4 linked regions of the Rhinolophus ferrumequinum genome follow. The protein of the gene in region 2 interacts with the protein of the main gene of each other region in a pairwise test. Links are inferred from orthologs where the notes say so. Each region holds a gene or a part of one and is shown on either strand. Other genes may lie near its edges. The genes, in order: SCNM1, zinc finger protein RFP, ARHGEF5 and TLE5.

Region 1 (7,105 bases), on a different chromosome or scaffold from region 2:
GCCTCCTTCGTTGGGCTTTGGGGTGGAAATCTTGGCGCTAAGCCCCAAGGGTTACTGCCAGCTCATCAGGGAATTATTTATACTCTGGGGATCAGCAGGCAGGGAGGTTCAAGTTACGAGGACGAGGTGGGGGAGCTCCCTCCCTTGGTGCTCCCCATAACCCTGCCAACGCCTTTCGTCTACTTGCACAGGATTCCTAGCCTCAGCCCTGTTCCCCGATGTGGCCAGGCCCCCCTAGTTTCTATGCACAAACCTCATGTGATCTGCAGGAGGAAAGGACTTTGAGTGGAGTAGGGAGGAGGGCAGACAACACGAAGGGCAAAGACCTCCTTCTAACAGACTTATTAATAGGGCACCGGGCTGACGCAGCTGACGCCTGGCATGGCTTTGGTAAGAGGTGGGGGAGGGGACAGAAGTACGGGGAGCTGTGTACATGGCCGGGAAGGACTGGCCGGGCTGAGAACGAACACATCTGAAATCCTGAAGTGGGACAAGGAACCAGACTCGAGGCAAGTTAGGCTCCCAGCGCCCACTGTGTTTATTTGTGAACTAAATGGGAAAAGTGGGTGTCAGACCAAAGGGGGTTCGGGGGGTTCCTCCTCATCAGAGTCAAACTCAACATTCTCATCTTTTACCCATCGACCTCGTCCATCTGGGATCCATCCAGAGCTGGAAACATCAGAGAAAACAGAACTAGTCACAAGAGGAGGTTTATTGAGAAGTCAGTGGGACGAGAAAAAACAATTGAGAAGGTTTGGAAAAGGAGGGTCAGAGAGAAAAGGGAAAAGCTAAGGAAAGTAGACTGTGCATACCTCCGGAGGGTGAGGTAACGGTCCAGGGCTCGTCTCCTTGTGGGGCTCACAGGTGCAGGGGATGAGACAGCGGCTGACTCCTCAGCCTGTGGACCTGCCCCAGGCTCAGGGTCCCTACCGATCTGCCCACTTGGGAGTTCCACCTCTGGGGGTGGCAAAGGGGGGCGGGAGACAGAGGGACGAGAGGCTTCTGGTCTGGGCAGAGAAGAATCAAAGTCTGTAAGAGCAGTAAAGGAAAGAGCCATCTCTCCCATGACTCCCAACCCTTAAAGCAGTGTTTCCTACACGGTGTTCCTCAAGATATGAGTAAGTGTGCTGCCTGAAAAAGCTTTTGGAATCAAATGAATTTAGGAAAGATTTAGGTTAAAATTTTTTAAGTTCTTTATCTTAAGACTTTCTAGAGACCTTAAAATATACTGTTACTCTTCTTCAAAAGTATCCTACTTTGTAATCCTACCGAGCGCGCCTCTTCCCCCATTTTTTTTTTAATTACAAAATTCTCTTTTTCCTGAAATACCAGTCAACATCTCCAGAGTCCTAGTATTCCTCAGAGCACAATCTGGAAAACAAGCACTTTCGAGCCATCTGTCTCCTTTTGTCCCTCCCCGCCGCTGGCTTTCCCACCCCACAGACCTGCACTTCCGGCGGCAGCAACTGTTGTAACGAGGGGCTCTGTGCAAAGCGCTCTGGGTGATCAGCCGCGTCTGGGTTAACAGAGGAGCCTGGCATGGAGATCAAGACAGAGTCAGAGCTTCTTCCTAGAAGCCAGAGCCCTTCAAGCCTAAGGTCCTGCCTGGAACACACACTCCTCTCCCCGATTACCTCCGCTTTGGTCTCTTCCCTCTCCAATTCATTCTGCGGTCTTGGATTCTGCTCCATTCCCTTTCCTGGCTGCTTCTTGCCATAGAAAAGTTGCAGGCCTGAGGAGAAAGGGAAGAGAATCAAAAGCAGAGCACCACGAGTGGTCTGAAGACATTTTAAGGCTTTATTCTCCATCCTGTGTCTTCTCCCAAACTTACTGGACAGATGTTTCTTGCCTGCACGGTGGGCAGTTAGCATGGCCAGCGTGTCCAGGACAGGTCGGTGGGGACAGATAGCACAAGCAAAGCTGGATAAGAGGAGAGGAGACGATAAACTGTCCCTGGGCAGTCGGGTCTCTGCGGTAGATCCCACCCTGACCCGCCAGTCCTTTCCGAAGCCCAACTCCCAAGTACCCCAATCTCCACCACCCCCTTCCCTATCCCTCACTCTCCTCCTTAATAAGTTTACTGAGCCTCTAATCGCAGAACCCGCTGGCTTCATCCACTCTTTGCCCTCACCGTCCATCCCGTAGCATCAGCGCCTCATCCTCCGGGATATAACTAGCCAGCAGGTCCCCGACTCTTCGCTTCTGCAGGGAGTAGGGGAAGAAGTCCGGACGGCATCAAGGGGATAGGAGGAAGCGGGGAAGGGAGATGACAGGGACGAGGGCTTATAGAGAATGAGGACCACGGGGAGAGCAGAGATCATAGGGAGAAGGGCTCACAACCCAGCCCCAGTCGCCTGACTCCCTCCAGGCCCGCCCCCCCCAGCTGTTGCCAGAGCAACAAAACAAGTGTTTCACGGCCTTCAGACGGCAGCGGAAGCTGCTCCAGACGCTCTTCTCTCGCGCTTACTTTGAGCACATTGAGTTGACTCCAATCGTCCCCTTCTCTCTTGAAAGACATCACGACTGTGAGTCCCAGAAATAATGAATTCTACCGCCCCGCCTTCGCCACTCCTTTCCGGCCACCGTAGCAAGGTGGGCGTCTCCTTTCCTTCCGTCTCTTTCCGGTCGGCTTCACTTCCGGGGATGCGTTTCTACGCATGCCCCGCGCGACTCCGAAAGCCCGCCTCCAGCCCGGCGAGGGGGACTGCATTTCCTATCGTCCCCTGCGACCCCGCAGACGCGGAGCTTTTTGGGAAATGAAGTCTTTTTTCGAAGAGCTGGATCCAGGCTCCTGCATCTTGTCATATTCGAGGCGTCTGGAGGGATAAGAACCTAGATGTGGAGCCCGAATTTGAGATGCGGAGGGAGCCTCTGAGGACCTCTGAGTGGAAAGTGTACTTCAAACTCTCGCAGTCATCACGCGCTTCGTCGGCGGTGACAGCCCACCTGGGTGGGCCCTAATTTGATCACCACGCATTTAGACCAACCCCTGGACGGGGCGGAGCCGGGGTTCGGGGGGGGCCGGGAGGCAGGGCTGCCCGATCTGGGGGCCGACTGAGCCGAGTGTGAGAAAGGTGTCTAGAGTTCAAAGGTCAGAGGTCAATGCCGCGAGTTGTAGAAGGTCGAAAGTTGGAGGGGTACTAACGGGAGACTCAGGTAGGGATTGAATACTCAGGGTATAGATCTGGGGGAAAGGAGCTTGGAGGGAGGAGAAGTGAGGGTGGAGAGGGGGGAGCCTAGTGCTGGGGGAGACTTGGGAGAGAAGACAGAAGTGAAAGGAATCCCTGGTTGTCGTTAGCAGAGCCCGGCCAGTCACTATCGGTCGCTTAGCCTGGCCTCCCGCAGTTGCAACCCCAGCTGCCCTCAGTGTGTGGAGATGGCTTCTCCCTCCAGACAGGCCCCCCTCGGGGGGTCAGGACTGCTTCAAGGGAGCCGAGCTCGTTCTTATGGAAGCCTGGTGCAGTCGGCCTGCTCCCCAGTGAGGGAAAGACGCCTGGAGCATCAGTTGGCGCCCGGAGACACCCTGGCTGGACTAGCACTCAAATACGGGGTGACGGTGAGTTTTTCAGGATTGAGATGTGGGCAACTAGTTAGAAGAGATTTATTCCTCTGGAGAATGTCATGGCGCTTCTAGGCAATTTCCCCTGAAATTTCCCTAATGTGTTGTGTTGTCTGATCTGCCTTTATCGTTTTCTTTTCCCATCTCAGGGTTGCACTATCTGATGGGGACACATCGTGTCCCATTATCACAGTGGAAAGGGGCAGCTCCCATTTATTATACCAGTCAAGATGCTGGCAGCTTTACATACATTAGCACATTTGATCCTCACATCCCCATAAGCATACAATTGTTGTCCCCTTTTCACTGATGAAGAAACTGAAACTTAGATTGGTTAATCAATTTGACCAAGGTCGAATAGCGAATGAGCGTAAGAGTGGAAATTCAAACAGGTCTGTCTGATTCCAAAGTCCGTACTATGAACCACATAGAAACTATTTAATTGAGAATGATTAAAAATTTACGGCAAATAATGGAGAGCTGGTTTTCAGTTCTAAGTTCCTAAAGTGCCAATTTCTTCTTATTCTTTTCTCCCCCCTCAATGCTCTGCCTTCTTTCCAGGAAGGTGGCCTCTTTGGTGCAAAACAGGTACTCTGTACACCAAGTATTTCAGGTCATGCATAGAGTATACTTAACAGGTGTGAAAATATATTGCACTAAAATTGATGAGGTTTTTTTCTTTTTCTTTTTTCTTTTTTCCATCTCCTGTTGAATTTGGCCTACACTGTTATGCTTGGGAAGTTTAAAGCACTGTGGTAACCATCTTGGGAGATAGAAACATAAAATGTATAGTTGTTGCCTTCATGTAATTTCCAGTCCAGTGAGAAATGGACAGGGACACAAATAGTGACTGTAGGTGACAGAACGTGGTGAGTTTGTAGAGGTGTTAACAAAGGGTGGGACATCAGACAAGAAGATGACTTTTCATTTGGAAGGGAGCAAAGTTGGACATCAGTGAAGATTTCAAGGGCGCCATCATGAAGGGCCTTGAAAGACTTAGAAGTTCCTTCCTCTAGGCTCCTCTCTACAAACCTAGGGTTTAATCCAGTTGTTTACACCTTTTACATCTTTGTCTTCAATAGCCTATACCCTTCTTCAGGGATGGAACTATTTCCTTTCCATTTTATATCTTAGAGTCTGGTATAGTCCTCAGCACACAGAAGCTTAATAGATGTTTTGTGAGTGAATGAAAGTACGGCTAAGATTTTCACACATGGAGATTGGGAGTATGGGAAAGTGAACATTTCAAGTAGAGGGCATGGTCTGAACAAAGGAAGGGGATATGAAAGTACTGAGCAGACCGTCCATCGCAGTAGAGACTCAGGAACTGCGCAGAGAAGGGAACAGTGCTACTCGTGAATCAAGATTTATTTATTGAGGATTTCTGACAGCCCTGTACCTTTTTGAGTACAGAAAAGCTCTGTAGTCTAGTGAAGAATTCCACGTTCTGGCCTCATTCTGTCTCTTACCAGCTGAGTGGCTGCATTAGTCACTTCCCCTGTCTGGGGCCTCAGTTTCCTCACCATTTGTAAAATGAGGAAGATGTATTAAATAATGATAATTACCTAAGTTATTACCTACCTATCATTCAACGAGCACTTAATGTATGCCAAACTCTATATGGTATCTCATGTTATCTTCGTAAGATTTTATGAGGTAGGTGGAACTAGTCTCATTTAAAGATAAGGAAACTGAGGCTTCGGGAGATAACTTACCATAGACTACACAACTAGTCTAATCAGCAGAGCTAGGATTCAGACCAGGCTGGCTCATTCTAAAACCCTCACTTTGTACTCCTGTGTTAAACTAACTAGATTCTAATGGCCTTTCTAGCTCTTAAAGATCGGCTCCGTGGCCTAGGACTCCTCTGGACTTTGACCTTGGGTCCTTCATTTTTAGGAGTGGAACGATGTCCCCTCCTATATGGTACTTCTAGGAAATAACAAAGGCAACAGAAAAGTCACAGATTAATTCATAGTATCTTGGAGCTCAAAGGGACTTAGGATGTTATCTAGACAAAGTGAAAGTGCAAAACTACAAGCCAGTTTTAACTTCTTTGATTGTTCACAGTAATCTGGTTTTATTTTTAAACACCTTATAGCATAATATTTTATTAGTCAAGTTTATTCTAATCGTCTCGCCCCAGGATGGAAACACCTTTGATACTCGATAGGTGTAAGAAATAGGATTTCCCAAACTGATAACAATATGGGGTGAGTTTTTAGAAAAACTGGCTGCCTGGCCTCTGACAATAAAATACAGATATACGATATCCATGGTTTCTATATTTTATTATCTAGTTTGTTTATTCATAAAGCATTAATGAGCCTCTGCTGTGTGCCAAGTGTGTGCCTTAGGGATATAGAGACAGCAAGTCACCATCCTGCCCTTAAAGGACTTACAGAGTTTGGGCAAGACAGATATGCAAACAGATGAATAACAATATAATATGTTGGTCATTATTATGGTAATATTTATAGTATGCTTTGAGAGCCCTGAAGAAGGTAACACAACGGGAGTGATAGTTGATAAGTAGTTTTCCAGGCTGAGAAGGGTATGGTAAGTTCAGGATGGCAAAATGTATAGGCGGCAGAAGAAGAGAGATGAGGCTGGACATCCGATGGCGCTGGATTGAGGACGCCCCGAATGCTAATTTGCATTTTATCTCAGCCAATGGGAAGCCACAGGGGGTTTATAAGCAGGGTAATGGGTTGATCAGATTCATTTTTTTAAGAAAGATAGATACCAGCAGGGTGGAGGGTGAAGAGGAATGGAGAAAGACCAGTTAAAAAACTTGTAATACCCAGATGAGACATATTAAGAGTTGTTCTAAGGTAATGGCAGTAGAGTGAATATGAAACCGCATATGAGGGAGAGTTTTGCAGCACTTTTGTTGACCACTTGGGTCTGGGTGATGACAGAAAAGTATGAGTTAAGGGTGACATTGATATTTCGACCTTGGGAGGCAAGTAGATAGATGGCGATACCTGTCACCATGTTCAGTAATGAATAAGTAGCTACTAAATAAACATTTGGTCAATGAAATGATTACTACTGTACTGTGGAAAGCAGTCCCAGAGGAGTGAAAAGGCCCTAGCTCTGTCATTCATTTGCTAGATTATTTTAGGCAACTCAGTTCCTTCATCTTTAACAGAAGTTCCCAAAGTGACGTCCAGGGGCGCCTAGGGGTCCTTGAGACTCTTCAGGAATCCACAAAGTCAAAACTATTTTCATAGTAATTGTAAAGTAATAAAGACTTCATTTGCCTTGTTCGTTCTCATTCTCATGAGTGGATTGTGTTTCCCACAGGCTGAATCACATGTTATGGCAACAGATTGAATGGAGGGGCAGATACGAGAATCCTGTTGTCTTCTATTAAGTCACACATTAATGTGATTTGCAAAAATGTAAAACAGTGCCTCTCTTCTTGCTACATTTTTTTGTTGTTTTGGAAAATACAGTTATTTTTCATTAAAATATTTATGTTAACATGTAATGGGTTTGTTGTTTTTAAACAAATACATGGTTTTAATTGTTTTCAGCTTT
Region 2 (7,665 bases):
AACTGGCAACCTTGGTGTTTTGAGCACCATGCCCCAACCACTGCGCCAACCAGCCACCCACCTGCAGCTCAGCTCCAAGCCATTGTTTTCAATCTAGTTGTGGAGGGTGCAGTTCACCCGCCCATATGGGAATTGAACCAGCAACCTTATTGTTAAGAGATAGTGCTCTAACCAACTGAGCCGTCCGGCTGCTAATGGGATTGTTTCTTGATTGCAGGACAAGTAACCTCCCTGCCCTACTCTCCCCAACCACTTGATTCTTGAGAGGGTAGTACTAGCCTTGCTGAAGAACAAGTCTAATCCAACCTATCCATTTCACAGATGAGGAAACTGAAGGCCTACAGAGGTTATATTCCTAAGTCCAGGTTCCCTGATGATCAGAGAAGGACTATCTCCCCTCGTTGACAATCCTCCCACAGAGGAGAGGCCATGTGCATAATGATTTGACTCCACTCAAGCTCACTAGAAGATTCTCCATCCATCAGACCTACTTTCAAGCAAGGAAAGCTGAGGTCTCAGCTTGTGTGGGCAGAACAAGTGGTGGCATTTGAGGATATCATGGGAATAAGTTCCCCGTCCACAAGTTCTCTGCGACACCCTGGCCAGGCTGACAAAATTTCTTACAAAATAGTGTTATATACTACTGGTCTAACAGTTTGCTTTTCACATGCAAATACTCCTAATGGGTAGAAATTTTTACTATTTATTGTTCAAAAAAATGCTTAAAAAACTAGATTGTGGATATGTAAGTGTTTATTATAAAAGTCTCTACTTTTTGTTTTGGTTTTCAAAACAAAACCCCCAAATATCCCTGTCATAAATTAGCCATTCGCTAAGGCTTTAGGAGACTAAAAGAAGGAAACAAAGTGAAAAGCTCAGAATTGAAGTGTTGTCAAGAAAGGGAACACTCCAGCAAGAAGCAACAGTGGGGCTTATGCAAAGCCACTGTCGGCATGTGTCTGCAGAAGGGTACCAAAGGAGGCTGGCTGTGCCCGAGAATTTCACCTATGTCAGCTCTGTCAAGGATCACCCGTGATCTAAAGAAAGCTAGCAGTTTAAACTTTGGATAGGTCGGCTCTCCAGGGTTCCCAACCTTAGCTCTTCCATCCTTTCCCCAAAAAATATGGGAATGCTCGGGTCTCCAGGTTAGTTCCCAACGGCCATATGGTCTTCCCCACCTTCACCTAGAAGTCTGGAAGACTTGACTGGACAATGTTAAGCCTTACAAAAGAAGGAGTAACCAGCAGAAGTGATATTATCTGTGAATCCCAAAGACACTTACTTACCAAGAGCTCAGCTCGTGCCTGCTCCCCCTGTGCCCGACGCCTCTTCTTTAAGTCTTTCACTCTTTTTAGGTGGTCCAGCTGGTTCTGGATTTGCTCCTAAGAAAAGCAAAAACAGTTGGGAAGTTCAGGATTAGGCAGATCTTAGCATCAGCATGGCTCTTCCGCTTATCACACATGCAACTCACATTCCTGAAGCCAAGTCCGGGATTACAGCCTGTCCTTGAACCAGGCACACGGGGTCACCACACCCCTCCTTTGGCAGGTTGTGTGTAACTTAAACTGAGTCAACTACCTGCCCCTGGAAGGATGCCTACTGCATGGCCTAGTGGAAAGGTGACAGGACCAGGAGGCTTGGAATTAAACTGGAGCTCTTCCACAGTAGCACACTGAGGAAATGACTTCGTTTCCGTGTTACTGTTTAACTGTGCTAGTCTGTTGGTTCAAGAGTTCACAGGGGCTCCATCCACATTTTAACTTAATCTTCGTAATAACTGTGTTACCTCTTATGAGTTTCAAAGTGGTTAAATAACTTAAGCAGTAAAGAGTTGTGTTCTTTTCCATGAGTTTCTGGAACAGAACGGAGCACAGGCAGTGCTGGGGAAATGCTTCTCGAGTAGGTGGTGGGCATCTACCTGCCAGGCGGGTATACAGCCAGTTAATGTGTCTGAGATCAACTAGGAGGCGACAGAGTACGAGCGTCTCTGAGGCTTGCCGATGTGCACGTGGTTTTACACGCATCTTTTATACGGGAGTGGGGAGGGCTCCGTGGGCTGTCTTTATGTGCCCGTGAACCGGTAAACAGACGCAAATAAGGAAAGGAGAGTGGGGGCGGAGGGGGGGCTTCTGGCTTCCTCAATCTACAGGTTTTCCTCCCAAATCTGTGTGCCGAGGCTCTGCAGCAGACAGAGAGGAAATGACGGCTGTGAACCACACGACCTGCTCAGCCATTTTCTAGGCGGAAAAAAGGAAGCCTCTTTGGATCTCTCCTCCCTTTGTCCGACACGCTCTCCCGCCCCTTCCCGCGCGGCGCGCCGGGCCCTCACCTTGAAGCCCTCCACCGCCTCCTCCAACGGCAGCACACTGTGGCCGCGGTGCTCACGGGAGCGGTCGCACACCACGCAGATGGGCATCTGGTCCTCCTCGCAGTACAGCTTCAGGGGCTCGCGGTGTTTCTCGCACACGCCCATCTCGCCTCCGGGCCCCGACGGCCGCTCGGTGCGCAACTGCTTCACCAGCTGGGTCACGTTGGCCAGGTGCCGGTTGGGCCGCATGTGCCGCTGCGGGAAGGTCTCCCGGCACTGCGGGCACGACACGTTGATCTCCGCCGCGCCCCAGCAGCGGGTGAGGCACGCGCAACAGATGTTGTGGCCGCAGTCGAGCATCATGGGCTCGGCGAAGTACTGCAGGCACACGGGGCAGGTGGTCTCCTGCTGTAAGCACTCGGCCACGCTCCCGGAGGCCATAGCGCGGGCCCGCGGGGGCGCAGGGGCATGGGCCCCAGAGCCCAGCTCTGCGCGGCGCCCAACTCTATAGCGCGCCCTCCGGTTCGCTGCCTCTGGGCGGCGTGGGGCAGAGAGCGTGGCGGGCGGAGGGCGGCGCCTCGCGGGCCCAGATCCCAGACGCGCCTGTGCACTGGCCCGCAGAGCGGCAGGGCGGCCCCCAGCGCCGCGGTGCCCAGCACCGGTAGCTCGCCAAGGCTGCGGCTCCGCTGAGCCCAGCCGCTAAGCGATCCGGGCGTCCCCGTGGGACTCGAGCGCCAGAGGCAGGACAACGTGGCCGCGTCGGAGCGGATCCCGGCGGCCGTGCAGACCCCACCCGGCAAGAGCGGAAGAGGCGGCTCCGAGGGCGGGGCTTGCCCGGGCCTCTCGCCACCGACGTGATTTCGTGGCCTCTGGGCCTGGACTCTCCTCCGGGAGAGAACCGAGGAGGCCTGGCCGCCCGCCCTAGGGCGGAACGCTCAGGAGCACGAGACTCGGTGACCGGTAACAGGCATTCGGTGTCTGCGGGGCGCGGCGGTGACAGAGCAGCCCTTGTCTGCACGCTCCGGGCCCACCGCCGAGTTTCCGCGGCCACGGGCCTGGACCCCTAGTCTTTGGCTGGATTTCCTCTCTGTGCTCAAGACTCAGCTCCGGCGAGAGCAAACTGGCTCTGCGTTGGTGTGGGAAGGACAGGCACCTGGCTTCCCCTGGAGGGACAGGGGTAGCCGACCTAGTCCCACCCGGTTTGTGAGTCGCTTTATTAAACAACTCCATTTACAGGCACTCGCAATTTTGTTTCAAAAAAGAAAGGCTTAATCAGACGGCAACATTCCTGTGGGACAAAGAGTCAGATAAACCCAGTTCAACTACTTCCTAAGCAGATTGTTTACTATTCTGAGCCTGTTTCCTCTGGTGAAATGGGAGTAACTGCACCGCACCAAGGAGGTAGACTTCATTATGTCTTTGCTTGTTTAACCTTAAGGACGTTTACCCGCTGCACGGAGTTGTGGTCACTAGGACTTAAACATTTGTGTTCTTTCCCAAAGTCTTGGGAGCTTCTCAATCCTGCGGTGACCTGGGCTCTTTTCATTGTCCAGTAGGTTTACAAATTTTTTGGGTTTCTCCCTCATCCCTACCTTGGTATTTCTTAGTTTCCTTTGCTGTTTTCTCAGTATTGTCCTTCATCCTCTAGATTTGATCGAATTTGGACATCCTTGCTTTGCTTTATCAGCTTGCCTCTGTTCCTTTTCATTTCCATAGTACGCTTTGACCTAAATTATTTCAAATGTCAGTTTGCAAATGTTTGTTAAGTCAATTAGTAACTGAGTGAATGCATATATAACAACCGCAAGGGACAGAATCATCCTGAACAGCCCCCTTTCATTTAGTCACTTCTCACACAGAAATCTTCAAAGCTTTTTTGCTTCCAGGACATTGTCCAAACCTTTGAGCGTGGAGTTCAGTCTGAGCACTTCCGGCCTCCAAGTCGGCTGCCATTCACAGTCTTCATACAATGCTGCCAACCCAGCTCTGGCCCAGGCTGTGCTCACCACAGTCCTCTCCAGGGCCTACTCATGAGTCCTTCCTTGGAGCTTAACCTAAACAAGTGGGTCTCATCAATCTCTCTCTCATCAGCCTCCGAGGCTCACGTAACACCTCAGATTCTGATACTTGGGTTATTTTCCATCTTAAGATTTTCTTTGACTTTGCTTTGGAATTCTTACCTATCGTTAAGGTTAGTTTAGAACAGTAAATGATGTGTGCTCTCACATTGTCTAATGCACTTTATGAATAAGGAAACTGAGGTCAGGTCCTTAAATGACTCTGTGAGGACAGAAGCTCCTCTCCAGCCCTTCTATGTTCTCCATTACACCTTTTCCATAGCTTTACTCAGATTGGCAGTACTTAAATGCTTGTTGAATTATTAGACTAATAATTAATGATTCTACTGTCACATTTTATGCATACTTCTTTGTAACAGTTATTTATTCATTCATAAAATGACTGGTACAAACACAAATGCCTGCTGGAGACAAGAAGGTAATTTAAATGAGCAGGTCAAATCAATAGGGAAAGATGGGGACTGTGACTAACTGGAGGAAAAATGTCCCTCCTGAGAGGCAGCTCATTTCTATTTAGCTGAAGATGACCATTGAGTATGTGGGCCCAGCATATTGCCAATTTTCAGATTTTCAAGAGAAGACAAAAATCTTATATGAAAATTTTATATGAAATTTATTATTAACTAAAAATTGTAAAATCATCTATGCAAGATGAAAATTGGCCTCCTGCCCTCCAGTGTGGGACTTCTGGTACAGCTATTTATTTTAGTAAGTGTCTATCAATCTTAACACAACATGAAAGGGACTATTGGTGACTATTTTATAGCCAGTGTCCGCTCTTTACTTAAAATTTTGTTCCAGGTAGCAATATGTCCAGCTGAAAGATACTTCCCAGGCCCCTTTGCTGCCAGAATTGTAGTAAATTCAAAAAGGCAATGCTACAATATGAAACCTTGTCTGGCTGGTTACGGATATTCCTAGGAACACCCTTACCTCACCCAGAGCTTCTTTCACACTTCAACAGTCTTGAGATTGTGGGTAGCCAATGGTATCTACATGGTAGTTTTTGGATGGGAATTTTGAGAAAACTTCTTAAAGAAAGTCTACTCAGCTGAGAAGTATGCCCTTTTTAAACTTACCCCTTCCAAGTTCTTTCAGCCTGGAGTGTGCCCATGATGGCAGGAGCTCAGGCAGCTGTCCTGGACCATGAGGCAATCTTGAAGATGGAAAGCATCACTAACATGATGTAGTGAAAGGTAAAGAAGCCTAGGTCCTTACTCACTGCAGAGTGACTGCATCCAAATTTCATCTATGTGAGTGAGAGTAAAGCCACTGTCTTTTTTAAGCCACTTATTTGGATTGTCTGTATATGCAACAGAAACTAAACCTATCTGATAAAATACAATTTTTATTAATAAAACGTTTTATTTTAAAATGAATTCCTACCTACCCCCTCTACACAACCTATCTGCCCTAAGAACACCAGTGATTTCTAAAAGTATGGGCTAAATCCAGAGGACACTATTCAGTCTGCATCTTATTGTTTCTGAGGCATTTGATACTGTTGACTCCTCTCTCCTTGGATTGGTTTTATTTCTTGGCACCAAACTGAGTAGGACCTAATGAGGCCTAAGGTATTTCTGCTTCCTCTTATCGTCTTTTCTCTTACCTGCCTTTACCATGTAATACTAAAGTTAGTCTGGGAAAACAAAAAGAATGGTCAGGAAAAACACAAAGCTACAATAATTAAAGTAACAATAAGCTAGTAGAGCAAAGGGACAGAATAGTAACTAAGAAGTAGGCCTAAATGTGAATAAGAATTTAGTAAAAGATGAAGGAGAAATTGCAGGTTGGTGTTACGCATTCAGTAAATGATCTGAACAACTGGCTAGCTGGGGGAAAACATAAAAAGATCCCATCTTACTTCTTATACCAAAATATATTCTAGGACAATGGAAGATTTGAATTTAAAAAAAAGTGAATCCATAAAAGCTCTTTAAAAAGAAAACTGACTGATTAAAAATAATAATCTGCCGGCCAGGTGGCTCAGGCAGTTGGAGCTCCGTGCTCCTGACTCCGAAGGCTGCTGGTTCAATTCCCACATGGGCCAGTGGGCTCTCAACCACAAGGTTGCCAGTTCGATTCCTCAAATGGCGCAAGGAAAGGTGGGCAGCGCCCCCTGCAACTAGCAACATCTACTGGACCTGGAGCTGGGCTGTGCCCTCCACAACTAAGACTGAAGGGACTACAACTTGAAGCTGAACTAAGATTGAAAGGACAACAACTTGACTTGGGAAAGAAAAAAAAATGTCCTGGAAGTACACACTGTTCCCCAATAAAGTCCTATTCTCCTTCCCCAATAAAATCTTTAAAAAGATAATAAAATAATAATAATAATTCTTGTCTGGAAGTTCTTTCCAAACATGATCCCAAACCCAGAAGCCACAAATGGATAAATTTGATTTACATAAAAGTAAAAAATGACTTCTATACAAAAAAAGTAGCTCTAAACAGTCAAGCAATAAAGGAAAATTGGGAAAAGTTATTTTTAGCAAATAAGACAGGATGAATTTCCTTGAGAGACAAAAATACTTCCACAAATCTAAGTAAAAAGCAGGCATGAGGAAGCACAAAGGATATGAACAGATGGTACAGGGAAAAAGAACAAGTGGTTAATAAATGTGAAAAGAGGTCCAACTCACTATTAATGAAATAAAATTATGTGGTGGTGCTTTCAATTAATGAGATTAGTAAAGATCAAAAAGCTCAATAATAGTGTTGGTGAGAATGTAAGGAAATAGGCATTCCAGTCCACTATGGGGATGTTAATTGGAAGAACATTATTGAGAATAATTTGGCAATAGCTCATGTTTTTAAATGCCCAAACTTTTTGAACCATTTGCTCTACTTCTCTCCCATCTGCACAAAAGTGCTTGATTATAGAAGGATGTCATTATAGCATTGTTTGAATTTGTGAAATACTGAAACCAACATAAATATGCTTTGGTAGGGGACAAGTTAAGGAAAATACTATGCAGGGTGCTTTTAATAATTATACAAGGACAACAGGTACAAATAGGAAATGTTCCAGATAAATTTGGGACAAATCATCACTCTTTCTTTGAAGACCCCACTCAAAAGGCTCTTCTACTGCACAGCTTCCACGTAAGTATCATTGGCCACTGCAAAGGACATTGGGGAGTGTAGTCTTTCGCTGAGCACTTTGCTAACCAAGGTAAAAATCAGGGTTTGTGAGCAAGGAAGAAAGAAGGTGAGAATGACTACTGATAGGTCATTAGCAGTTTGTGTCACGTCACAGGCCCTGAATTAGCACTACTT
Region 3 (6,937 bases), on a different chromosome or scaffold from region 2:
ACCAGACAATCTGGAAATGCACAACTGAATAAAATGTAGGGGCATATATAGATTTTCCTATGACATATGTACCCAACTTAAAAACAGACCTAAAGGAAAAATTTCCAGAACTCTGAGCCTCCTAAGACCTGGAAAGAGGATGGTCAGGCAGCCAGATCACCAAGGGGCTGGTAGGCCATGCCTGCTGCTGAGTTCGGACTTCATACTTCCAGAGATGAGGCTCCTCTAAATGTTTTCCTTCCGTTTCATTGAGGTCTAATTAACAAATAAAAATTGCACATAAGGTGTACAACTTGATGTTTTGATACACATACACACGTCTACGATTGTGAAATGACCACAGTCAAAGCTAATTAACATGTCTGTCACCTTACATAGTTCCCATTAATTTTCCTTTCCTTCTCTGCCCTGTCTTTACCACGCCTCATGTTAAGCCCACACGTTTTGCTCCTCCCTCAACAGAAGGTGTTCAGGCTTCTGTTTTTGCATGTCCCATTTCGTCTGCTGGTATGCCTTTCTCTGTCCTCCTCTCCACCAGTGAACAGAGTACTTCAGACAAATCAGCTCAAATAATCACCTGATCCTTCAAGCCTTCTCTTACTCCCCAAGCAGTGCTCTTGTCCTTTATGTCACCATTGCACTCTGTGTACATCTCAACACAATACATCACACGCTGCTGTCATTATTTGCTACTTGTGTCTCTCCTCGATTAGATTGAGAGCTCCTTGGGGGCAGAGACTTGGTTTTTGTATATCTGGTTTCAAAAAATGCATATTGAGTAAATGAATGAAAGAAAAAAAGTGGATGAAGCAATTAGTATTTGTACCTTGAACAGCACTAAATTTAGGCTAGTGCCAATGTGCAAAGGTTGAGAAAAGAAGTTAAGGGGAAACCAAGGATGAGAACAGAAAAAATACGTCCCTCGGAATGGCACTGGATAGCTAAGAACCCCTCGGCCAAGTCAGGCTGGACTTAAAGGAGAAAGATGGAGAGACCATGGTCGGTCAGGTTAAGGAAAGAACTGAGTTCAAAATCCGTTCAAAAAGTTCAAAGGTGAGTCATGGGATCAGACAAAAGGCAGAGTCAGAAAGGCCAGAGCAGTTTTTAAAGAACTGGCACCGGAACCACTGAGAGTCCGAGCTAACCAAGTGGGGGACCATGTGGCCAGTAACATGGGATGGTGTCACCAAAAGGATGTCTGGTCAGGGCAGTGACAGCCCCAGGGATAACTCTATGAGGTCCTGCTTTAAAAGAGATCACTGTAATCCCTTTATCAAAATATGGGGGTAGGGTGACAGGCCTAATTAAGAAGCCCAGGCACCAAGAGCAAGCATCAAGAAATGGGAAAGAAAGAAAAAAAGAGAGAACCATAGTTTGCAAAGTGAAGGGTAGAGGAGGAGCCCAGAGCAAGATTGGTTCCCACATGCACACACCCTGCAGGCAAGGGTGCTCCATGGGATGTTCTAAGTGATAAGTGTTAATGTTCCTACATCTCACTACTACTTGAAAAGTCAGCTGAGCCTTGTATGCTTAACTCTCTGGACAATAGCCCAGAGGTCATTGAATCAAGGGTGGTGACGCAACAAAACAAAAATGCTGATAGGTCAGAGCTGGTAGAACAAGAGGAGGTCAAGTCTATGAGACCTGAGAGAGAAAACAAAGGGATAGAGAGGTATAATCAAGGAGAATCAGTGGAGCTGGTGTGGGGCAAGGAGAAGAGCCAGGCTGGTGTGGGAGGCTGGCCCAGCACCGCCGACCACACCGCCCTCTCCTGGTAGGCAGTATGGAGCATGGCAGACATCAGCCACTGGTGCCCAGGGGTCAGGGGGTTTACTAACTTTGCTCACCGAGACCCTGGACTGAGTTTGCTCTCCCAGCCTAGAAATAGAGACACTTCTAGCTTAAACTTCTTTTTATGACTTTATGAAAAAAATGTTTCAAGTATAGTTTGTATAAGATACTATATTAGTTTCAGGTGTACAATATAGTGATTCGACATTTTTATACCTTACAATGTGATCACCCCACTAAATCTAGTAATCATGTCACCGTGCAAACATATCACAATATTATTGCCTATATTTCCCTTCCCCTTTTCACCCATCCACCCATCCCCTTCTCTCTGTCAACTATCCCTTTGGTCTCTTGTTTCTATGAGTCTTTTTTGTTTTGTTTGTTCATTTGTTTTCTTTTTTTTTTTTTTCATATTCCACACATAAGTGAAACCATATGGTATTTGTCTTTCTCTGTCTGACTTATTTCACCGAGCATAATACCCTCTAGGTCCTTCCATGTTGTTGCAAATGGTAAGATTTCATTCTTTTTAATTGCTCATAATATTCCATTGTATGTGTGTGCCACATCTTCTTTATCCAGTCACCTATCGATGGACACCTAGGTTGCTTCCATATCTTGGCCATTGTAAATAATGCTCCAGTGAACTTTCTAACTTACTGCACTCCCCACTTTCAACCCCTTTCTGAACATATGACACGTGCTAGGCCCGCTGTCTCCTAGCTGAACTCCTAGTCCTGGCTTTCCCTGGGTGTTTCCCACACCTACATGGCAGCTTAGAAGAGGCGGAAGGCTGCTGAATGGTGGAGGACTGAACCCCTCCGAGCAGCATGGCGGAAGTAGCACAGAAATTGAACACAGACATGTTTCAGGACTTGATTGAAGAAGACACCATTCTGCTTTAATTACGCTGTACCCAAAAGCCCCCTTCAAAACGGGGGTAGGCATGGCCAGCCGGCATCTGCAGCAGCCAATGGGCGCAGTAATCTGCAAACAGTCTAACCCTCTAGCCATTTGGGCTTACAGATCAGGGCATTCCTGGAAAGATTCTACTTGACTTACAGGAGCAGGGAACCGCAGGGAGTCATGAGTGAGGCTGGGGTGGTCTGACTAAAATGGACCTACCTACCTAGAATCTCAGTGCCTAGGTGAGCGCTTCTTACTGTGTGTGCGCACCCGGCTGTACCACAGAACCTTCTGGCATTGTTTGAAGTCTGTGGAGAGGAATAAAGATAGACCCTCAGCTTTGCACTCGAGACCAACAGAACACAAGCTTTCCCTGAAAAAAATCTGGAAAAAAATACAGGCATGAAAAAACACACGGGCCTGAGACTTAGGCTTAGATAGTGCAACACAAACACACACAAGCACAGAGGTCCTGGGAAGAACAGAGAAGGAAAACACACCCCGGGATGTATAATGATCCTAAAATGAACTCAGAGAATACATAGAGGAAAGACATGGCATGCCGTTTTAGAGATGTCATTCCTAGGCTGTACGAGATGGCCTTGTAGGGGGAGGCAAGGAGAGAGAGGACGGGAGTGAGGGAGGGAGAGGGAGAGAGAGAGACAGAACCGCAGGACAGGAGCCAGCCAGCCAGCAGGCTACACCCTTCCTCATAAGGGAGAGACAAGGAGACATTAAGGAAGAGCAGTGAACAGGGAGGCCTGGAGATAAAGATGCACGTACAAACACAGCGACTCAAACATTCAGAGACTCAGATAAGCCCAAGATAAACACCGACGGAAGGCAGATCAGCAGGGTCCGAGTCAGGCTCAGGTGAAGACCTGGAGCAGTGCAGGGGAGAAGAAACGCCCAGGCAGACTGCCGAGCCACACAAGGACACGGGAGAGGCCCCACTCTCTCCCCTCTTTGTCCCACTCCTTCTGGTCACTCCTACCGGCCCTGTCCCCTGTCCCCTGCCCCCTGCCGCCGCCTGCCCTGGGCTCCCGCCCGGGTGACCCTCCCAGCCGGGCGCCACTTCCCCGCTCTGACGCGGGAGCTTCTTTCACACCAATGGGGCAGCGGCGCAGACAGGCCCTGCCCCTCCCCCAGGAAGGTGTGTCCCTGGTTTCCTCACCTGAAACTTCCTTGGAGAACCAGATCCCTCCCTCCCGGCCGGGCGGGGAAGGGCAGGAGCGGGTGGGGCGGCTAAGGCAGCCCAGGCCTGCGCAGGGGACGGGGACGGGGACGGAGACGCGACGGGGCCGGCCGGCGCCTGGGACTCGGAGGGAGCCCTTGGGCCGAGACAGCATGTGACACTGCCCAGGTGGGTACCCTTCTCCCTCGCAGCTCCCGGCTCCGGCAGGCGGCTGTAGAGACCCGGGGGAGGTAAGGGAGGGACAGGAAAGACAAGGAAACTAGGCCTTCACTCTGGGACCAGCCCCTGCTGGGTCCCGGGGCGCAGGCTCCGGAAATGGGGGGCTGGGCGTAGGCAGAGTTCGGGGCGTGTGACGGAGTATCCTAGTCGGGAAGAGGAGGGAAGCTGGAGGAAATGCTCTTGCCTGAAAAAGTTGCTTCCGGCCTGGTCCCCGCCTTGGAAATGGGCACCCTGCCCCCAGATGTTCCCCAGGCCAATAATAGGAGCTCTTCAAAGTCAAGGTCCTGGGGAAGGCTAAGCCCTATAATAAGGAATAACTGAGACCCCCTTTGTGGACCTGCTCCCTACGTAGAGATGTTTTACTGTCTGCTCTTTCTTAACTAGGCCCCGGCCTCCTTCCCCTGTTTCCTGTGGATTTACACACTGTATGTCTAAGGCCATACCTCTCCCAGGCGAGCCAGGCTCTGAGGAAAAGTGACTCCTGCCCCTCCCGCCTCCTTCCCCTTATCTGGGGAGTACTTCAGAAGCTTCAGGTCAATCACAATATTGCCTAGTGAACGTGGGGAGGCGGGGAAGGGAGCTATTTAGAGGTGGGGGTTGGGTGGGGGTGGGGCTCTAGGTCTGAGCATCATTTATAAGCAAGACTGTCCTAGGAGAGCTAATCCTGATGCCACTTGGCTTTCAGATTTCAGTCCCGGCTCCCCTTCCTGGATCTCTGATTCCTGAGACAGATTTGCCCTCCTGTCTACCTAGAAGTGAACTCTGGCCAGGACTCTTGTCAGATTGAGGAGGGAGGGTGTGTCAAACAGATGAGGGAGAGCGGCTGGCTTTCATTTCTAGTTTCTTCCCTCTTTTGCTTCCCCCGTGGCATTCTAAGGCCCTGCGTCCCTGGCCTACTCCAGAAATCCCAGCTCCTAGCGACACTGCTCCTGAGGTGGCCTCTTTCTCAGACTTCCTGTTTTATCTGTACCTGGAGTGTGGAGAAAGTCCTTGCCTATGTCTTAGCAAAATGGGGGTCAGGATGGATGTCTGTCATCACCCCAGTGGGGAAGAGAGAGGGGCCAGGAGGGATGTAAAGGAATCCCTCTTATCAAAAGAACAGTGATTGTAAACACAGTCAGCTTCTTCACCTTAGGGGTCCCTAGAGTGTATGGCTGCCCACATTGTGGTCTGTCTGAGGCTTGCTATGGGATAGACAAGATGATGTCATTTGTGGTATCTGGAGTGGCCAGTCACCACAAGGTGTGGAAAGAATGGGTCACTCACAGGGTCATGGATTGAACAAGAGCAGTGTTACCCAAGTGTCAGTGGTGTAGACCCAAACAGGTGGCTGACAGCATCTGGATCCCGGAAAGTCACTCGCCGTGTCTGGAGTGAACAGGGGCTGGCCATTCAGAGTGTGTGCAAGGTGGGTGAGACCTGAGTCACCCTCAGGTCTATGCTGAGGACACACACAGGTCACTCCCACTCACATGATCTGTGTGGGTGGCAGCTGGGCCACGGTGGGCTTGTGGAGTATCTGTCAGCATTGCCACTAGGGGCATTCTGTGTAAGCCCATCTGGGCTACAGGGCAGCAAATGAGGTGGTATTTTCAGACATTAGGGAATAGATATGGATGTTTGTTACGTTTTCACTGGGATGGAGGGTAGGATTTCCTAAAGTAGACAGAACACAGGTCTTCACAGCGAGTGGTCCAGATCGCTACTCTTATTTTTAAATCTTTGTAGTGTTGGGGCAATAATGTCAAACAGTGAATAAAGGCATATATCTATGTGGTATTCTTATTTTCTAAATCAAAATGAGAACCTGTCTTTTGACTTTGGGGGTATTTTCTTAAGATAAGCAGCAGTATAGACGACGTAGTGTAAATGCAGAAGTATTGTCACCTCAAAGAGCATTTCAGTGATTTGTGGTGTAAAGCAGAATTTTAAAAACTGACGCTGCTCGAAAATCCAGGAAGCATGGTTCTCACCATTCATGGCAGTCAACATGGGTTCGAAGAAGAAGCAGTGTGATGGAGGTGGGCGTGGACTGGGGAGGGGGGGTATCTTTGAAATACAATTTTTTGTCTGGAGACTAGAAATGGACAAGAGCTAAGGTATTGGGGGCTCCAAGGGAGAAATTGAGCTCTGTCACACACTGCGTTAATGAGGTGACTTGGAGCTTTGTGTTGAACAAAGTCGCGTGTGGAACTGGATCAGTGGATGCAAACTGTCTCTGGCCGGTCTGATGCGTGTCTGTCTGCATGTGCTCAGTTAGTGATTATTCACTCCCAGTAGAGAAGGAGCTAAGAGGCAACTCTGACGTAATGAGCAGTGCACAAATCTCTGTCCTATGTCTTTATGTGAGTAAAACCACGTTTTACAGATTTCCTTTTTAGCTTTGTCATGTGCTAGGTTTGTGGTGCCTGACTGTGATCAGATCACTAGGACCATCAAGTGAAGGGACATGGTGACTGAGCCGGTGACCCCTGACATTTCCAAATGGGTAAAGACAGTGTTAGAAGTAGTGTCAGTGGGGTTGCAGGAGGCAGCCATGATTGTGTCACTAGAATGGAACTGAAGATGTCCGTCTGTGGAGCGTGTGTGTGTGTGTGTGTGTGTGTGTGTGTGTTGCCTAAATATAGCAGAAACATGCTTATATATTTAGAGACTGCTTGTTTTGATGACATGACGGTGTATATATAGGGCCAGGAGAACACACATGTGGGTGAGGGGAGACTACAGATTTAGTTACACAGTCTCCTCAGACAAGTAGGAGCCAAGTTTCAGAAAATGTTTACAGTGAGCAAGTATATTATTTAACGTGTGGTCGAGAGAACA
Region 4 (6,912 bases), on a different chromosome or scaffold from region 2:
CCGACTGGGTTCAAAGTTCAGCCCTGCTACTTTGATGCTGTGTGGTTCTGAGCAAACCCTTCTACCCCTCTTGGCCTTGGTCTCCGTGCCTGTTAAGTACCAACCTCCTATACCAACCTCCCGGGGTCAGGTGATGAGGATGAAATGAATTAAGACCAGAAATCCTCTCTGAATACCGCCTGGCGTATAGTAAGCACCCAATAAATTCTTGTTGCTCTCTTGGTCACCCCAGGAACCTGGTGTTTCACTCTGCTAGACTGACCATAACTGTACACCCCAGTTCACAGATGAGTCACAGCTGGGGTTGACGTGACCCCTTGAGTTTTTTTCTCTAATTTTTAAAAAATGTGCATTTGTTGCCACCATTAGAAAGAACAGACAAGGAATTTCATCCCAAACTCTGGCTTTCTGGCCTTTTTTGAGGGTCTGGCAGATCCTGTGTGCCAACATGGTAGGACTCTTCGTTGTAGAGTAGGAAGCCCAGGCCCAGTGGATGGAGACCCCAAAGCTCGGGGGGGGGAGGGGGCTGGCCTACCCGAGGACACACAGCACTGTAACAACACTCTCACCAATGATCAGGGATTGGCAGCCCCAGTGCTCACTGTGAAGTGGGCATGGACCAGGCATGGAGGGGAGGACCCACTGCAGGGGCTCAGAAAGGCCAGCTCTGCCAGGCAAAGCCCCTAACCCTCCACATCACAGGACCAGAACAAAGTTCCTGGGCCTGCCCTTCCACCATCAGCGTCTCTGTCTCATCTTTGAAATGGGCACAATAATAAGACAGCAAGGAAGATTAAACCAAAAGATGTTCAGTATTTAACACTTGGGGAGCATGGGAAGTACCCCAAGAGGTTGGATGGTAAAAAAAAAAAAGAAAAGAAAGAATATACATCCGTACTCCCCTTTTCTTCTTGAAGAAAATCCAAGATCTTTTTACGTGGGTAAACTGAGGTTCAGAGACAGCCCAAGACCTCCCTGAAATTGGTGGGCAGGGACCCCTACTGATCCCCTCCATAGCAGGGCCTTTGAGAATTTGCATTCTTCAACTCAGAAACTGGGTGCAAATCTCAGGTCTGCTGCCACTTCCTTGCTGTGCATCCCCTAGGAATCCCTAAGCTCTCTGGGCTTAGTTTCTCCAAGGATAAGACGTAGGTAATAACAGTTTGTTCCCCTTAGATCAGGGCACATGGCAAGCCCTTTGGAAATGTTAAATTCTGGAACAACCATGCTTGAGATAGTTGGACCAGGAACCCTTTCCCCAGAACTGGGCAGAGAGGGCTAACAGGCTGCAGAACTTTGTCTTTGGGGCAATTTTTTTCGATTATTTTTAATTTTGGTAGGTATGGGGATCTATCCCCCAAATCCAGTTGTTGGGAGGTTTTTAATCATGTGGGGCTTGGGGTGGGGGTGGGAAGCGGCCCTCTGAAGCCATACAGCTGAGCCTTTAGGCATATCATTTAATTTTTTGCCTCCTTTTTCTCCTGTGAAATTGGCTGTTTGGAAGACTAAACGATTTTAATACCGATAAAGTGCTCAGGACAGTGCCTGCCATACAATTTGCACTACGAAAATACATATATTTTTTCAAGTACTCATATACAAAGCAGGGGCCGCCACCTCCACCCTTCTAGCCAACTGCGCAGGGGGCTCCACCTTCTCCCGGGGTACAGACCCCTGACCCCAGCTCACCTGTGGTACTGAGCCTGCAGCAGCTGAAACTCGTCTTTGATGCGGTCGCAGGAGTCCGAGGTGGTGAATTTCAGTTGCTGGGGTAGGTGCGAAGAGCCCTGCGAGGAGGGGGCGTCCCGGGTCAGGGCTGGGCCGCCGGGTCGGCCGTTCACTTCCCTCTTGGGCGCCGGGAGGCAGCGGCCAGGGCAGCGGCAGCGCCCCCCCGACACTGCCCCATTTCCCGGGCCCCTGTTTACAGCCCCTGGCGCGGCCCCCGCCCTCGCTTCCTGCCCCCGCCTCTCCCGGGGAAGTGGAGGGGGTGGGTGCGCCTGGAGCCGCTCCGTCCCCCGCCACCCCCAGGCTGTGGGGGTGCGTTTCAAGGCCCGCCCTTGGTGGGGGGCAGGGTGCGCCCTCTACCGCCGCTCCAATGCTCCGGTGGGGGTGCACATCGGAGCGCCCCAAGTGCCTCGGGGAGGGGACAACGTGTCCTAGGGAGTCCCCGTCCCCAAGTGGGGGGTAGCGAGGTCTCTCTGCAAAGTCCTTTAAGAGAGGGCCCTCTCAGCGCCCGAAATTTTCCGTGGGGGCTCCATCCCAGATTCCCAGTACCCTCCCAACAGGCCGCTCTCTTCCGGGAGAGATGCACCTCGGATCAACCCCCACTCCCAGGCCCCGAAAGCAGCCCCGGCGTTAGAGGTGCCTGGTGGGGCTCCCGGGGAGCCCCAGGCCCGAGGCCAAGGCTGCCCAGGCCCAGCCTGGCTTGGTGGGGGGCGGGCCGCAGGGCCCAGGGACTGGGGGAGTCGGGCCGGGAGCTGGAGAGGACCCCGCCTGAAGCTTGGGGGAGTCCGGGCCGGGAGCTGGAGGGGGACAAGGAGCTACAGTGGGAGGGAAGACCAGCGCTGGGCCCAGAGCTGGAGGGGACCGGGCCCTGGAGTTGGGGGGAGGTGCCGAGCAAGGAGGGACCTGGGGGGGGGGACGCATGGCAGGGCTCGGATCTGGGGGGAGGATGGCCCGGCGGGGAACTGGGGGGCGCAGGGCTCGGACCCGGAGTGGGGGTGCCAGGTGCGGATCTGGGGGGCCGCAGGGCCGAAAGCGGATGGGGGGAAATGGCCCGGCCAGGAGCTGGGGCACGCGCAGGGCCCAGACCTGGGGGGGGGGGACGCCGGGCCGCGGTCCCCGCTTACCGAATGCCTGCTTTGTGGAAACATCATGTCAGTCGCCGCGGGGGGCGCGGGCTGCGCCCCGGCTGTGCGCCCCGGCTCGGGCGGCTCGGGGCGCCGGGCGGTCGCGCCTTTGTCCCGGCGCCGATCGGCAGCTCCCGGGGCTGCTGCCGCCGCCTCCCGCGCCCGGCCTCACCCGCTTCCTGCGCCCCCTCCCTGCGCGCCCGGCCCCGGCGCGCCCCGGGCCCCGCTTCCTGCGCGCCCGGCGCCCCTCCCCGCCCCTCCCGCCGCCCGCCTCCCCGCACGCCCGGCCGCCGCTCCTATTGTCTAATGGCGGCAACGCCGGCAGTGGCTGCGGCCTCGGCTGCGCGGAAGCTCCGGCTCCACCTGCTGCTGCTGCCGCTGCCGCTGCAGCCTGGGCCCCGTGCGCGCCGCCGAGGGGGGGGCGCGCGCCCGGGGAGGCCTGCGGATCCCCACCCAGCCCGCCTCCCGCGGGCCGCCGGCGCGGTGACCTTGGGCCCGGCGCGCCCCCGCCCGGGGCTTCAGCCCCCGCCTGGCGCGCCGGGACGCCGCCCCTCCGGGCTGGGTGGCCCTAGCGGCCGCCTGGGCCTCGGTTTCCCTATCTGTCAAAGAAAGGGGCCTGGCGGCCCCCATCTAAACCGCCGGCACTGTCATGGCGCGACCTGGACGCGTGCCAGGGACATGCTCTGTAACCTTGGCTCTCTGGCTGTGCTCTCTGAGCCTTGGTTTCCTCTTCTGCAGAACAGCGGGGGTCATACAGCTGGCCTCCTGGGAGCCATTCCTCCAAAACACATTATTGAGCGCCTACTGTGTGCCAGGCCCTGCTCCAGGATGTGGGTGTGGGTTGGGGATGTACAAAGTATCCACCCTGGTGGAGACGACTTGAGACAGGCGAGAGACAAATACTCAAGCCCAAACTCTGGCAGGTCAGAGGGTAGTAGCAGCTATGGAGAAAATAGACCAGGGGGAGGACCAGGAAGGTGCCATTTTAAACAGAGATGGTGTCAGAGAGGGCCTCCTTGCCTGCAAAGAGGACCTGAAGGTGACAGAGGGAGCCAACAGAGGTATGGGGTATGGTGGCTTATTCAAGGAGGCAGGAACAGCAAATGCAAAGGCCTGGAGGCAGCCCCATTTTTTCCTCGGAGGAGCCTGGGAGGAAATGAGGGCAGGGAGGCAGGGCCAGCAGCTTCCAGCATTCAAACGGGCCCTGCTCCCAGAAGAGCCTGTGCTTGGGTTCCTGATCTACAGTTGTGGTCTGGAAATTCCTAATTATTTTTGATCAAGGGGGCCTCAAAGTTTCGGTTTGCATTGGGACTGCAAATTCTGTAGATGGTGCAGGGCCTTGTGGGCCACAGGGAGGACTTGAGATTTTACCCAGCCGTGGTGGGAGCCACAGAGGGCTGTAGGCAGGGGAGGGGCTGGACCGGACTCAGATTTTGATAGATTCTCTCTCGCTGCCATGTGGAGTTCAGGCCTCAAGGAAGCTGTTGAAATCATGCACATTAACCCCTGGCAAGTGTTACATACACAGCCTCTTAATTCTCATGTCATCAACACCAGCTCTGCAGCCCTCTCCAGATGAATAACTGTTTGGAGCCTTAGGTTTTCCCATCTATAAAATGGGAAGTTAGGACCCTGGTCACTTTTCCCGGGCAGATGAGGGGCCAGGACGAGGGTGAGATGAAGAAACAAAATTTAAAGACCCCCCTCACCCTAAAAACAAAACAAAATTAAAAATATCCTTCAAGATAAATAATACTTTAAAGCACTATTTTTATAAATAAAAACTGATGCCAAAAAAATTCACGGTGATGGAAGGAGACTAGACTTCAAGTGGTGAGCACACATAGAGTGTCCAGATAGCGGATTATAATGTTGTACACCTGAAATTTATATAATGTTATTAACCAATGTTACTCCAATAAATTTAATAAAAAGTAAAAATGCATAATGAGCAAAATGTCAGCCTTTTAAATAAAGACAGGATCCAATGAGCTGGAGATGAGTTAACCAAAATGCAGGGCCTTTCTAGTCCTGACGCTGTAAGAGAAAAGGAGCAAAGTTTGGAAAGCTCTTCAATATTCCTGTAGAGTTGTGGAATGCGCAGGCCCCACAAATCACACGAGAGTCCCCAATTGGGACAGGCTACAGAATTTTCAGGGCTTAGGGCAAAATGAAAATGCATTGCCTCTTGTTCAAAAATGATTAGGAATTTCAATATGGTGGCAACAGAGCGTTAAACCAAGCTCAGGGTCCTTCCTTGGAGAGCATGGGGTCCGCTATGAGTGCATGAGTCACCTGCCCATGAAGTTGGCCCTGCCCCCAACATCCCCCCACACACACACCACGGGGACCAGACACCCATTCTCCTGGGAGGCCACCTGCGTCTGACTCTCACCTGGGCAGGCACTCGGTGACCAAAAACTCCTGTGTTAACAGACCCCAGAGCTGGACACACATACCCCCAGCACAGTGGGGTCAGGACTAGGCCACAGTGGGGGACTCAGGGCTTTGCCTTTGAAGGAGAGTAATCGGGAAAAAGTAATTTTCAGGAAAATTACTGAAATTTTGGCATGTGGCAAAGCCCAGAAGTGTGACCCAACCTATGAATAAAGTAAATTAACCCACCTGTATATGTGTTTACTATGTGCCAGGCCCTACCTTAAGCATTTTAACCCTAGGTACTGCCATTATGACATTTAAAGATGGAGAAATCAAGGCACTGGGAAGTTTAGTGACTTGCCCAAAATCACACAGCTGGTAGGTGGCAGAGCTAGGATGTGAACCCAGGTACTTGGGCGCTTGACCAGTATGCGTTACTGCCCCTCCGGATGGGGCTTGAGGTGGGTATGGGGGATACTGGCTGGAGAGGGCTTGGGGGCCAGCATGCTACAGGGCCTGCTTTCTGGATGAGGAGATAGGATTTTACCTGGAGGGCACTGGGGAGCCAGGGGAGGTTTTAGAGGAGGATTTCTGTCTTCACTCTTTACATGCTGGCTTGCATCGTTCTCTGGAGTGGGACCGTCCTGGGCACAGTGGGGTGTTGAATAGCATCCCTGGCCTTACCCACTCCATGCCAGGAGCACCTCCCACCCAGTCCTGAGAAGCAGAATTGCTGAGTGTCCCAGGCGGTGGGGGTGGGCAAAACTCCCCCCAGTTGAGAAGCCCTGGTTTAGAGCAACAGAGAGAGACTGCCAGGGCCGGGGATAGAAGGTGTTGCTGGTAGTAGCAATGGGGGAAGGCAAGGCGGGAGGCCCGTAGATCAGGGGGATGCCCAAGCTGAGCTCCAGGAGACGGGCAGGCTAGGCTGGGCCACTGCGCGGGAGCTTTTGGGGATGGCTGGGTGGAAAGAACAGAACGTGGCAGGAAGGGAAAGGCAGGGCGGAGCACTGCAGCTCCGGAGGGAACAGTCTGCATTATGTCATTAATTTGGGGGGAATTGGGGCTTTCCAAGATCTTACTCTCTGGGTAGCTGCCATTCCACACCCCTCAGCCCCCACTCATCCCCAACTCCTTGGGTCCACATCCTGGTCTTGCCTTTCCCTGGGGTTCTCAGGGCCACATCTGAGGCCAAATTGAGGCGGGGATCTGTCTCATGTCAGCAACCGGCTGAGACCAGCCTCGCAGCCAGCTTACAAATGAGCACTGGGCCCCGTGGCCTCCCGGCAGAGCCAGTCGCTGGCTGGCGCGTGATGGATGGGGCTGCGTGGCCATTAATCACAGGCAGGGGAGGAAACAGGTGGCCGCAGTGTGGGCACGGGGACTCCCTCTGATAGGCCTGTCGGAGCCAGGACCTCAGCTGTCCAGCTCTTGGGTCAGCCCCTGGTCTGTTATAATCTGTCTGGGTGAGCTGGGGCCGTGTGATTTTACCACTCTGGGTCCCCCCCCACACTCCCAAATGGAGCTATTATCCATTCATTCCCTCAGTAAATATTTATTGCACCTACTGTGTGCCAAGCATGATTCTGAGTGGAGACTGACAGCCGTGACTAGGGAGGACCAATATCCCTCCATTTGCTGAGCTGACAAGCTTTTAAAACCTGACTCAGATCCTGCCCCTCTTCTG

What was found.
Region 1: the proteins of zinc finger protein RFP (region 2) and SCNM1 interact in binary tests that used the Homo sapiens proteins (3 or more experiments, as listed by UniProt). The two-hybrid records come from large-scale screens. The link is inferred for Rhinolophus ferrumequinum from reciprocal best matches to the Homo sapiens genes TRIM27 and SCNM1.
Region 3: the proteins of zinc finger protein RFP (region 2) and ARHGEF5 interact in binary tests that used the Homo sapiens proteins (3 or more experiments, as listed by UniProt). The two-hybrid records come from large-scale screens. The link is inferred for Rhinolophus ferrumequinum from reciprocal best matches to the Homo sapiens genes TRIM27 and ARHGEF5.
Region 4: the proteins of zinc finger protein RFP (region 2) and TLE5 interact in binary tests that used the Homo sapiens proteins (3 or more experiments, as listed by UniProt). The two-hybrid records come from large-scale screens. The link is inferred for Rhinolophus ferrumequinum from reciprocal best matches to the Homo sapiens genes TRIM27 and TLE5.

What each region holds. Positions count from the first base shown.
Region 1 is NC_046305.1:51,216,189-51,223,293, reverse strand, and holds SCNM1 (sodium channel modifier 1), read right to left. Parts: upstream 2,632-7,105; 5' UTR 2,519-2,631; coding exon 2,468-2,518; intron 2,203-2,467; coding exon 2,132-2,202; intron 1,921-2,131; coding exon 1,832-1,920; intron 1,733-1,831; coding exon 1,635-1,732; intron 1,535-1,634; coding exon 1,446-1,534; intron 1,008-1,445; coding exon 813-1,007; intron 670-812; coding exon 570-669; 3' UTR 510-569; downstream 1-509. Other genes in the region: LYSMD1 (lysM and putative peptidoglycan-binding domain-containing protein 1), read left to right, coding at 3,377-3,556. UniProt on the Homo sapiens protein: As a component of the minor spliceosome, involved in the splicing of U12-type introns in pre-mRNAs. Plays a role in the regulation of primary cilia length and Hedgehog signaling.
Region 2 is NC_046286.1:448,894-456,558, forward strand, and holds the start of zinc finger protein RFP, read right to left. Parts: upstream 3,008-7,665; 5' UTR 2,750-3,007; coding exon 2,330-2,749; intron 1,383-2,329; coding exon 1,287-1,382; intron 1-1,286. UniProt on the Homo sapiens protein: E3 ubiquitin-protein ligase that mediates ubiquitination of various substrates and thereby plays a role in diffent processes including proliferation, innate immunity, apoptosis, immune response or autophagy.
Region 3 is NC_046309.1:7,307,640-7,314,576, reverse strand, and holds the start of ARHGEF5 (rho guanine nucleotide exchange factor 5), read left to right. Parts: upstream 1-3,927; 5' UTR 3,928-4,063; intron 4,064-4,551; exon of another isoform or gene 4,552-4,647; intron 4,648-6,937. UniProt on the Homo sapiens protein: Guanine nucleotide exchange factor which activates Rho GTPases. Strongly activates RHOA. Also strongly activates RHOB, weakly activates RHOC and RHOG and shows no effect on RHOD, RHOV, RHOQ or RAC1.
Region 4 is NC_046301.1:60,176,281-60,183,192, reverse strand, and holds the start of TLE5 (TLE family member 5), read right to left. Parts: upstream 3,007-6,912; 5' UTR 2,877-3,006; coding exon 2,850-2,876; intron 1,788-2,849; coding exon 1,690-1,787; intron 1-1,689. UniProt on the Homo sapiens protein: Transcriptional corepressor. Acts as a dominant repressor towards other family members. Inhibits NF-kappa-B-regulated gene expression. May be required for the initiation and maintenance of the differentiated state.